Linked DNA regions of Caenorhabditis elegans. The protein of the gene in region 1 purifies or fractionates together with the protein of each later gene. This does not show direct contact. Each region holds a gene or a part of one and is shown in the gene's direction. Other genes may lie near its edges.

Region 1 (3,753 bases):
TACGTGTCCCGCCCGATCAGCAAATGGAGCAACTACTCAACGCCCATCGAGTCCCTCTACCTCTGCGGAAGTGGTGCTCACCCGGGAGGTGGTGTGACTGGAGCCCCCGGTCGGTTGAGCGCACTTCATGCCCTCAAACATTTCTAACGTTCTAAGTCTCTTCTCGCGGTTTTTTATTGTTTTGTTTGTCTTGCGCCAGTGACTCATAAAAACATTTCCAACACCATGATGTATTGCAAAATGTGTGTTTCGAAACTGCTGAGGAGACGACGAGGAAGTGATCTTTTGATTCACGATTTAGTTGCGGTGACCTTTGATTTTTGAGTGATTTGGTGGAATTAGAAATGTTAAGCGGGAAATCTTCAGAAAATTATAGAAATTTTCAAAAATGTTCGTAAAAGTTTGGGAAATAATTTCAGATTTTTAAAAAGAATTTACGTATGTATTTTTCTTTGGATTTTAAAATTAATTCTTCAAAAAATAGTTGAAATTTCTATTTAAAAAAAAAAAGAAAAACTATATCCAATTTATGTTCATACCTGAAAAAAAGCAAACATTTGTAATTTGGTATATTGAAAACTGTCAAGCTTTTCTATTTTTCAGGTTAAAAATCAATTTTCCACAGATTTGTCTTGAAATTTTCAAAAAAAAAGCTGTGGTTCTGTAGTTTGTGAAATTCGTATTTTTATTGAGTAGTCTAGTGTGATTTGTGCTCCCAGTTTTACAGCTCCTTCCGCAGGATCTTTTTTCGCCAACACAGCAAGTACGAAAACTCATCGCCACTTGGTCAAAGGTTGAACTCGTCTCAGTTTCGAAAAAAAAACCGAGAGAAACTCATCGGAACACAACAGAATGCCGCCCATCGCTTGATTTTGACCTTTTTCTTGTGTTGTCTGCTGCCTCTTGTGAAGAGATAGAGAGACAGCGAAAGAAATGCCAAAAACTCGTATAAAAGAGCGGCCAAAACGCCACAATTTGTTAGTTGTTGAGAGGAGTGTTTCCCTCAAATCTCTATGGAGATTTTTTTTTCGGGTTTCCCATGGTTTTCTGATCGTTTGAGCTTTGCTTTCCGCTTTTTCTCTTACATTTTTACTTTTTTAAGGCTTTTTCAAAACTAGAAAACTTCTCGAAATAACATACGAAAAATAAGATTGCGAAATACGTGAAATATCGTATTTTACTCAAAAAAAATTATTGGGAATTCGATTTTTTTTTTCATTTTATTTCAAATACATTTTCTGCCAAAATCGCAGTTTCCTATATTTTTGGTGAGTTCCGGGGAAAAATAGCTTCAAAGCTTTATTTCCATTTATAAATAGCTCTAGTTTGCAAATTTTTTGTCTAAAACGAGCGAAAGTAATGACATTTTTCAATTTTTTTTTTTCGAAAAAGTTCGGATATTATTGCGAAACTTGAAATTTCGGGAATTTTATCATGAAACAATTTTTTAAATTTGTAATTTGTAGTATTTCACAGTATTCTAGCAACATTTAAAAAATGTGCGAAATTTGAAAATTACGTGATTTTTTTTGTTGGAAAATATCAATTTCTGTATTTTCTAATTAGATTTTTCAGTGTTTTGCAAGATGAAATTTTAATTCAAAAAATCGTAGTTAATTTTGAACATTTTTGATCTACGTAAAAATGAACACTTTCAATTTCTGTTTGTTTCTTTTTTGTGTTGGGAGAAATTCGGAAGTTGCTTGTGTTTTTTTTTTGTTGAAAAAAAAATAGAAAATAGTCAGTTTTGTAGAATTTTATTTGTTAAACTCTCGTCTTAGCCTCACTTTTTCAAATTTTCCCTTGAAATTTACCTCAAAATTTCCAGAAAAAATGGCTCACATCGTGCAAACTCACAAGCTCACCCTCCATGACGTCGCCATCGACCAGGCTCTCGTCTACAGCTCCGACTCGAACTGCGCTGAGCTCAAGAGAACTTTCCAGGTCGAGTTGGCTCATGGCTACAATGAGGTTAAAGTTCAGGTGAGTGAAGGGCTATAAAATACGAGAAAAAATAATTTTTTTTTGCATTTTTTACTGCTAAGCAAACAAAACCATCGAAATTTCCAATATTTACCTTACCTGTCAAAGTTAAAGTCATAAAAACACTCACACAATGTGATAAAAAAATTTTCAGAACCTCCCATTCGACCTCGTCCAGGACTCGATCCGTGTTTCCGGAGCCGGCGAAGCTGTGATCCACGACGTCTCCGTCAAGAACCAGGAGGGTGCCGAGTTTGTGATCCCGGAGCGGGTTCTCGCAATTAAGGCGATCTTCGAGGAAAAGGAACGCGCCAAGGACAAGGTTGCCGATAGCCGAGTTGCCGTACAGAAGCGCATCGAGGGACTTGACAATCTGATCACCGAAGTCGCCAAGCACGGAAAGGACGGCGCCTTCCATTTTGACGGGCGCACAATTGAAAGTCTCAACGCCCTCCACGGATTCCATCAAGACACAACAGTGGATCTTCGCGCTCAGATCCGAACCCTGGATCAAGACCTGCGAAAGGCCGAGGAAGAGTACGCCCGTGCTAGCCAAGACTACGACAATACCGGATACAGATGGAGAAACTCTGCTCAGTATGCCAGTATTATTGTTGAGTCAGAAGCCGGTGGTGCTGCACAGCTCACCATCACCTACCAAGTGAACAACGTCTCCTGGACCCCGTTCTACGACATCCGCGTCACTGCTGGTGTTGAAGCTGAGATGCACGTCACCTACTTCGGAAAGGTCCGTCAGTACAGTGGAGAAGACTGGAAGACAGTGCCATTGGTGTTGTCAACCGCAAGACCCGCTCACGGAGTTAAGCAACTTCCGAAGCTCGGAGCCCTCGAGGCATCGATTGTTGTGCCCGAACCAGAATGTAACAGAGGTGGAAGAGGAGGTTATGGAGGTGGTTACGCTCAGGATTCAGTGGTGATGGCCTGCGCGGCTCCGATGATGGAAATGGGTAGAAGTAGAAAATCCATGAAAATGTCCTATGCGGCTGTGAAGTCCAGCAACATTGCCTCCGAGTTCAGCATTGGCCGCCCCGCCACCATCGACGATCGCACCGACGAGTACAAGGTGAACATCGGACAATTCACACTCGACACCAAGCTCTCCAACGTTACCGTCCCATCCCGTAACGCCACCGCGTTCCTCGTCGCCAACTCGGTCAACACCTCCGACTACCCACTCGTCGCCGGTCAGGCATCGATCTTCCTCGACGGAGCATTCGTCAACAAGACCGAGTTCGAAGATGCGGTCGTATCGCAAAAGTTTGAGGTGTCGTTGGGCGTCGACCCGAACATCCGCATCGAGTACAAGCCTGTCAGAAACTACCAGGAACAGAGCGGAACCGTCGAGAAGATCAACTCTCAGGTCACCGAGAAGACCACTGCCGTCACTAATCTTCGCCCCAACTCGGTGCTTCTCACCATTCGCGAGCAGTTGCCAAGATCCACAGATTCTAGAATTAAGGTAAAGATTGAATACATAAAAAGCCCCTAAATTTCCCATTTTTCAGGTCCACCTCAACACCCCAGAAGCCGTGGAAGTCGACGAGGCAAGCGTCGAGCCAACCGTCGGAGCCGCCATCACTCCGGAGAAGATTCTCGACTACACCGTCCAACTTGCGCCAGGACAGTCCAGCACTTTCGTCGTCAAGTACACTACCGAGCACCCACAGGCTGAGCAAATTCGCTATGAGGAGAAGTTCTGAAGTGCTTATGCGATGATTTTTCCGCTTTAACTTGATCTGTATAATTTAT
Region 2 (3,753 bases), on another chromosome or scaffold:
TGATTGCCGTCTATGTTCATGGAGTTGATGAAGCAAACCAAAAGTTCAGAAGACAAGAAATTGTCATCTGCAATGGTAATATACGCTTACTTGTTTAATTGTGCAAGAAATTTTTCAGGACGTAGCCCAACAACCAACCAGCCAGCAACAGGAACAATTGGCCCAATCACCATGCCAACTCAACAAACCGCGCTGACTCAAGGTCCAGTAACTCAGCAAACTCAAGTCCCAGGAACTCAACCAACTCAGGGACCAGTCGCCACGGTAAATTTCAAGTATTACTGGTGATTTAGAAATTCTGAACTTACAGACCCAAAATCCATACACATCCGCTCAGTTTGATGTTGTATTTATGATCGATGGATCACAAAGTGCACAATCCAGCTTTGACTCGGTATACATTATATGCCCTTTATGTTTCCATCATATGAATTTCAGCTCACCAAATTTGTTCAAACATTCATGGTTTCGTTCAATGTTGGCCAGAGTGGAGCTCGTGTTGGATTAATTGTCGTCGGAGGTGATATCACAAACCCAATTCCTCCTGCTGCCAATCTGAACTCCCTCTCCTCTCAAGCAATGTTGAACTCTAACTTGGCCCAACTCAGCGGTGGCTACACTGACTTTGAAGACGCCGGGCAAATTCTTAACTACACTCTTCAAATTGTGTCTTCTCCCGATTTCATGGCGGCGAACAATGGTTACCGTAGTGGCATTAGCAACCATGTGTTGATCTACCTTACTACAACTACTGCGTAAGTGTTCAAAAGATTGCCAGATAAAATTAATATTTTTTAGCTTCGACACCGATCCAACTCCGGCAGCTCAGACAATTCTCGCGCAGAAGCAATACGGAATCATCACTATTGGTTATGGTGGCGCGACTGATAACAACAAGTTGCAAACTATTTCCGGAGGAAGTGCTTGCTCGTTTACAGCTCCAGATTTTGCTAGTTTGAATAACCAAATTAAGACCATTCAGCAACTTATCCTCAATGCCAAGTAAGATATATAAGTGTGTTCATTAAGTGAAATGTTCTTATTTTCAGCGCCAATGGAGGTGTCTACTGTATCAACAACTAAGGCAGTCGACCCGGAAATCACTGAAATAATTTGAATTTTAATAAACTTATCATTATTTAACAATTTATGTGTTGGACCGAAAAATCAAAATTACGAGAGAAAAAATATAATACAAAAGTGAAATGTGATGGCAATTCAATAAACTTTACTAGTGGTTGAACTTCAAGTCGAAATCATCAGAAAGTGCTTGATAATAATTTGATGATACAAAATCGTATTCTGTGACATTATTCTGCTACTACTCAATTAGAATGCAAAGGGCGTGGAATAAATTTTAATACTGTTTGAGATGGCAAAGATAAGAGTTTGCCACGGTGATATGACGTGCCGGACACACTCTCCTTTTGCGATTAAAAAGGGTTTAAATCATTATTTCATGATAATTTCATTAGATTTGCCAGGCTGCTCCTGCCTTTTCACATTCATTTTCAGAACTCAATACCTTTTACGATATTTAGTTTTTTTGGAGTTTAAGAGCAATTAAATTAATGTGAAATTTCAGTAATGAGAAGCTGGGTTTTGATTGCGGCGTTAGCCGTGATCTGCCTGGGCGCTGAGCCTGAGCTCAGTCACAAAGAGAGAATCCGCAAAGTCTTAAAGTCATGGAACCCGGCCAACAGTAATCAACTCTTCCACCCAGTCAGTGAACAGAAGATTCAATTCGATGAGCAGTCCGATCTCTTTGTAAGTTCTAGATTTCGTTTAACTATGTTCCATATATGGTTTCAGGTTGATACTCATCATATCTCCAAAAGATCTATCGCCGAGCCTCATGTTTTTGCTGGAATGGCCACCAGAGGATGTAACAAGCCAGGATACACAGGAGCCACCTGTCAATATCGTAAGTCGGATCACATATGTGTTTTTAAACTAAAAATGCAATTTCTTAGCATTGTGCTCTGCTCGCAATCCTTACATTCCTGATAACAAGGATTCTGACGATATCTCTATTGATGCAACAAATCTTGCAAACTGCAGTCAAACATACGTCGTTGTTGTTGATGAGACCATGCGGAATATCAAAATTGAGGTCGAAACTGAGTCACCATTGAATCCAACTTTCTACCTCCAATCTGAGAGTGGAGATCTGATCTTCCCTGACACTGACAGAAAAACCGTAACTTCCTATGTGGCAACATATGAGACTTTAGCGCCAGGCCAGTATCTTCTCGGACCAAGAGCTGATTCTGGAGATGAATTTTGTACTATGATGATGACCGCTCATACCAATATTCAAGTTACTGGAGGTTTTACATCAGGCGATCAACCAGAGCGCAGCGACTATCCAACCCTCAAGTTTGCCTATTTTGACACTGAATCAGCTGTTGTTCTTCATGCACAAGGACTACACTTTCCCGGTCAAATTCAGGCGATTGGATTCACTGGCGCCGAGAACCATATCTCAAGATACATTCCTATGGCAACTCGCTTCAATTGTACTTATCCATATATTTTGGAGAGGTATACTTGCAGAAAAATTGGAAATAACGATATTGGGCACAATTTATTACAGGTAAGTGCAATGAATTGATATAAATTGCAATCATAAAAGTTCAGGTTGAAGGAATGAGCGATAACGGATACGTTTTCCGTCGTATTCTGCCCTACCAATGTATTTGTAAGTGAACGTAGTTGACAACAATAATCAACCTGAGTAATTTAGTGCCACCAGTGTCTACCACCACTGTCCCTGCTCCAACAACAACCGCTGCTCCATTGACAACCTGCCAGAACGGAGGTCAAGTTTTGAAGGATTCCAGTGGTTCACCATACTGTTACTGTTTTGGACTATACACCGGACGTGACTGTTCTCAGATGTTGTGTGCTAATGGAGGTGAATACTGTAACTAGAGCTGTTAAATAGAAAACGCTATGTTGCCATTGATGTGCTACATGGTTGATAACACAAAGACAACCTTCTAAAAAGGACACTTTTTTGAGCCAGCCTAAATTGGTCATCAAATATTTTATTTTTCAGGATTCCTTCCAACTCCCACAAGCGAACATTGTGAATGTCCAGAAGGATTCACCGGTTTCCACTGTCAAAATAGTAAGTCGCCTCGGAAAATAAACTGATCACAAATGCATTACAGTTGTCTGCCCTGGTGCATCCGGAATTGATTTCAATGCTGAAAACCCGACTGTTACTCTGGTCATTCGTTCTAGAAGCCAATTGTCAGATGTTATTCAACAGGCCACAAATTCAGTTTCAAGAATTGTCGATGAACTATCTGCCGAGCCTGGCTATCTCACTAATTTCATCGTTGTGCTCTTTGATAACGCCAGTGAGTTGATTTGCAACTAATTTACCGGGGTGGCTCCCATAAGCCTACCTTCTTATCAGGAAACGGTAATGCATTATATTTTAATTTTTAGAGCTTTTGGTAAACCAGAGATATGACTCATGGGATGCCGCTATGGTTGATCTACTTAAAGCGATTAACTCTGCCCCATCCGACGGTGGATGTGATGATGTTGTTTTCTCTGCTGTTGCGTAAGTATCGACTAGTTTTTCAATGTTTTACAGAATCTTCATGGTTGTTTTACAGATCTGCTCTTTCTCTTTATCCAACTAACAAATCACCAATCTATGTAATCACTGATGCCAATCCAAATGATAGCACTGAGAAGCAAACAATTGTACACTTGGAATCTTATTGGAGAGCACCA
Region 3 (3,753 bases), 580 kb from region 1:
TGCGTCAGGGTAACATATTTTGTCTGAAGATTAAAGGCGCAAAAGTCACGGCCCGAGAAGTGGTACCTGTACGCAATTTGTCTACCGTATACCTGGACGTTTGGGCGCGTGTATCTCAAAAACGGTTGGTCCAGTTTTTTTGTGATGCATATAAAAAATGTCCGAAATTAAATTCTAAATTTTTTGGACCAAAGCTTTTTTCGTTATCACGCGCCCAAACCTGGTCTACACTCAAATTATCAGTAGAGCGCATTTGCATGGATGTACCACTTGCCGGGCCGTGAAGTATATTATTCCGGGAATACATTCCGGGAAAAATTCCGAGGATGCGTATTGCGCAACAAAATTTGACGCGCAAAATATCTCGTAGCGAAAACTACAGTAATTCTTTAAATTACTACTGTAGCGCTGGCGTCGATTTACGGACACAATTTTCGATATGAAATTCGTTGCTTAATTTTAATATTCCATCGATAAATCTAATCGAAAATTTTCGAAAAAAAATTTTTTTTTTGAGAAAATCGAGCCCGTAAATCGACACAAGCGCTACAGTAGTCATTTAAAGAATTACTGTAGTTTTCGCTACGAGATATTTAGATAACAGTTTTACAGTACCCTATTGAAGGCGCATGTTCTTTTTAAAAATATTGAAATTTTAGATTAAAAAACTTGAGTTTTTTAATCTGATAATATTTTTTTTCAGTGTCCACCGATTGAGTCACGTGGTTCCAGCACATCATCATTTTCGACAACGCCATCTTCGTCTGCCTCGCCGCTTTCCATCAACCAACTTCTCAGTTCTTCGTTCTCTCAACCGCCGGCACCCCAACTGCCTGTGCCGCTGGCGTTCAACCCGTTCCAGCTAGCTCTCTATCAGTCTCTAGTTGCGAACAACACTCTCGCATTTCCCGTTTTTGGCGGTCCCCCGTCAATATTTCCGTTGCTTGTTCCGCCGCCGCAGCCCCAGCCGACTGTTGAGTCGATCGAATTGCTGAAAATTCTCCAAAATATGTTGGCAAAACAAAAGAAGTGATTGATTCATTTCGATTTTCTGTCATTCTTTTTCGGTGACAAACAATTTTCAATTTTTCACAATTTTCAACGCAGTTTTGTCATTTTTCCATCTTCTGTCGCCTTATCTCCCACCTAGATGTCATGATGTTGTTCGAAATAAAAATTAAATAAATATTTTTGTTTCGAAAAAAAATAAATCGATTGTTTTTCCAAAAATAAACAACAGTTTCCCCTTTCAAACAAACGAAAAGTGGGCGCGAGAATAAAGAGACACCACAAAAAATTGTTGCTAACGCGCTCCATTGCGAAGGTCTCGCAACGATTTGTGTTCAAAAAGACATGCGCCTTTGAGCCTGTTCAAATTGTAAATCAGCATTTTTTACTTTTTTCTTCTGTTTTCTGCCGCTTTTTTAAAAGGAAATTCATTATTTTTACATCAAAAAGCCAATATCCCAGATAAATTTCATTAAAAATGCTAAATAATGCGTTTCGAGTAATATTTTGTTGGAGAAAAACTGTGTTTTAGGATAGGCCGGTTTCACACATGTTTGTTGGTATAAAAATGTTATTTTTTGCTTGGGATTTCAAAATTAAAATTATATTTGTTAAGCGATAGGATTTTCCTTCACTTTCTTCTCTCTAGTCTCCATGACCGTATCGATTTCAATGTTTATTCTTTCAGATAGATCAAAATGGTTAGAAAGGACAGTGAAAGCAGCTGCTCCAGCGATGGAAGCCACACTCACGAGGACTACACTTTGGCCAACGACGCCGTCGTCACCAAGTACCAGGTTGCTGCTGAAATCACCAATGCTGTTCTGAAGGTGCGCTGCTATAGTTTGGATTTTGTGTGAAACTAAATTTTTGTTTTCAGGAGGTCCTCGCCAACATTAAGGAAGGAGCCATCGCTGGAGATCTTTGCGATCTCGGAGACAAGCTGATTCTCGAGAAAACTGGAAAACTCTACAAGAAGGAGAAGAACTTCACCAAGGGAATCGCCATGCCAACTTGCATTTCTATTGACAACTGCATTTGCCATTACACTCCGCTCAAGTCCGAAGCTCCAGTAGTGTTGAAGAATGGACAAGTCGTCAAAGTCGATCTCGGAACACACATCGATGGTCTCATCGCCACCGCCGCTCACACCGTTGTAGTTGGAGCTTCCAAGGACAACAAAGTAACCGGAAAGCTTGCCGATCTTCTCCGCGGAACCCATGATGCGCTCGAAATCGCCATTCGTTCCCTCCGTCCAGACACTGAGAATACCACCATCACAAAGAACATCGACAAGACCGCTGCCGAATTCGGACTTACCCCAATCGAGAACATGCTCTCCCACCAGCTCGAGAGAAACGAGATCGACGGAGAGAAGAAGATCATTCAAAACTCTGGAGAGAAGCAGAAGGGAGAAATCGAGAAGATCAAGATCGACAAGCACGAGGCTTACGCCATCGATATCCTCTTCTCCACCGGAAAAGGACAGCCAAAGGACATGGATACTCGTACCACCGTCTTCAGAAAGAACGAGCAAGTCAGCTACCAGCTCAAGATGAAGGCTTCTCGTGTCTTCTTCTCCGATGTCAACAAAGTGGTAAGTGTCATTTTATCGATATTAGTTTCAATTCAATAATTTAATATTTTTTAGCACGGACCAATGCCATTCTCTCTGCGCAGCTTCGAGGAGGAAGTCAAGGCAAAGATGGGAGTTGTCGAGTGCGAGAAATACGGACTCCTTGTTCCATATCCAGTAAGCACATCAATTTATCGTTTCGAATTCTAAAAAAAAACTATTTTAGGTGTTATACGAGAAGGAAGGAGAGCTCGTCGCTCAATTCAAGGCCACCGTTCTTGTTATGCCAAACGGACTCCTGAAGATTGCTGGACTCCCATTCGATTCGGACGTGTACCAATCTGATTTGACCGTCAAGGTAACATACTTTAACAATGTTTTTACAATTATCATTAATCTTTTTCAGGACCCGGAACTCCAAGCCGTCCTGAAATCCGCCCTCAAGCCAAAGAAGAAGAAGGAGGCCAAGAAGGACGAGCCAGCAGCCAAGAAAGCATAAACTCACCCTTTTCACTTTCTATTTATGATTGCCCTTTTGGACCTCTCTTTCCTACTATCCCCTATCTGCCTCTTTAATGGTATTTAAAATGCCGATGGTTTTCTGTCACTAATGATTTCCAAGGTTGAGACTGGGTTTTGTATTGGGTAAAAGCCGTAGTCTCAGAACTACGCTCATTTCACTGCTTTTAGTTTCTCTTCCCTGGTAGACAACAAAATCATTCTGTTAAAATCTCGATGTTAAACATTTCCACCTCTTCCCACTATTATCCTTTTTCTCTTTTCTTCCTTGTGTTCAATTATCATTATTATTTTTTGTTGGTTTATTCTCGGTTATGTCTGTGAGCCGTTTAATTCATCTATGATAGGAATCCGGTTGTTGATTTGGGATCACATTCACTTTATTGATGAAAAAAGCCTGATCATATACTTGTTCTCAGTTTCCCTTCCCAAACCCCCGTTAATTTTTTTTTCTCAGTTTGTGTCCAATAAATTGAAATCAGCAGCAGCAGCTTCTTTTGTGTAACTCGATTCATTAACATGCTCGTTAGTTGTATTGATGCTGAACTTTGAATTGCTCCGATGGGGGGAGACAGGCTCCTTGTTCCTGTTCCTGGAGAAAATACAAACAGACTGAGCTGATAAACAATCGCAAAGAAATTTATTACTGT

What was found.
Region 2: the proteins of F37C4.5 (region 1) and hrg-11.2 fractionate together in Caenorhabditis elegans (co-fractionation; one large-scale study listed by BioGRID). This does not show direct contact.
Region 3: the proteins of F37C4.5 (region 1) and W08E12.7 fractionate together in Caenorhabditis elegans (co-fractionation; one large-scale study listed by BioGRID). This does not show direct contact.

The regions. Positions count from the first base shown.
Region 1 is NC_003282.8:3,871,882-3,875,634, reverse strand, and holds the start of F37C4.5 (Protein F37C4.5), read left to right. Parts: upstream 1-1,828; 5' UTR 1,829-1,833; coding exon 1,834-1,983; intron 1,984-2,137; coding exon 2,138-3,463; intron 3,464-3,509; coding exon 3,510-3,704; 3' UTR 3,705-3,753. Other genes in the region: F37C4.6 (Pyridine nucleotide-disulfide oxidoreductase domain-containing protein 2), read left to right, coding at 1-147.
Region 2 is NC_003284.9:3,233,241-3,236,993, reverse strand, and holds the start of hrg-11.2 (C-type LECtin), read left to right. Parts: upstream 1-1,585; 5' UTR 1,586-1,587; coding exon 1,588-1,767; intron 1,768-1,812; coding exon 1,813-1,924; intron 1,925-1,973; coding exon 1,974-2,596; intron 2,597-2,640; coding exon 2,641-2,701; intron 2,702-2,746; coding exon 2,747-2,917; intron 2,918-3,061; coding exon 3,062-3,133; intron 3,134-3,176; coding exon 3,177-3,368; intron 3,369-3,459; coding exon 3,460-3,577; intron 3,578-3,632; coding exon 3,633-3,753. Other genes in the region: Protein irg-7, read left to right, coding at 1-75, 119-264, 311-394, 439-755, 799-1,002, 1,050-1,083.
Region 3 is NC_003282.8:3,293,439-3,297,191, forward strand, and holds W08E12.7 (Peptidase M24 domain-containing protein), read left to right. Parts: upstream 1-1,696; 5' UTR 1,697-1,706; coding exon 1,707-1,838; intron 1,839-1,888; coding exon 1,889-2,605; intron 2,606-2,659; coding exon 2,660-2,761; intron 2,762-2,810; coding exon 2,811-2,942; intron 2,943-2,990; coding exon 2,991-3,083; 3' UTR 3,084-3,588; downstream 3,589-3,753. Other genes in the region: pugs-9 (Protein Upregulated in Glial Subsets), read left to right, coding at 704-1,033.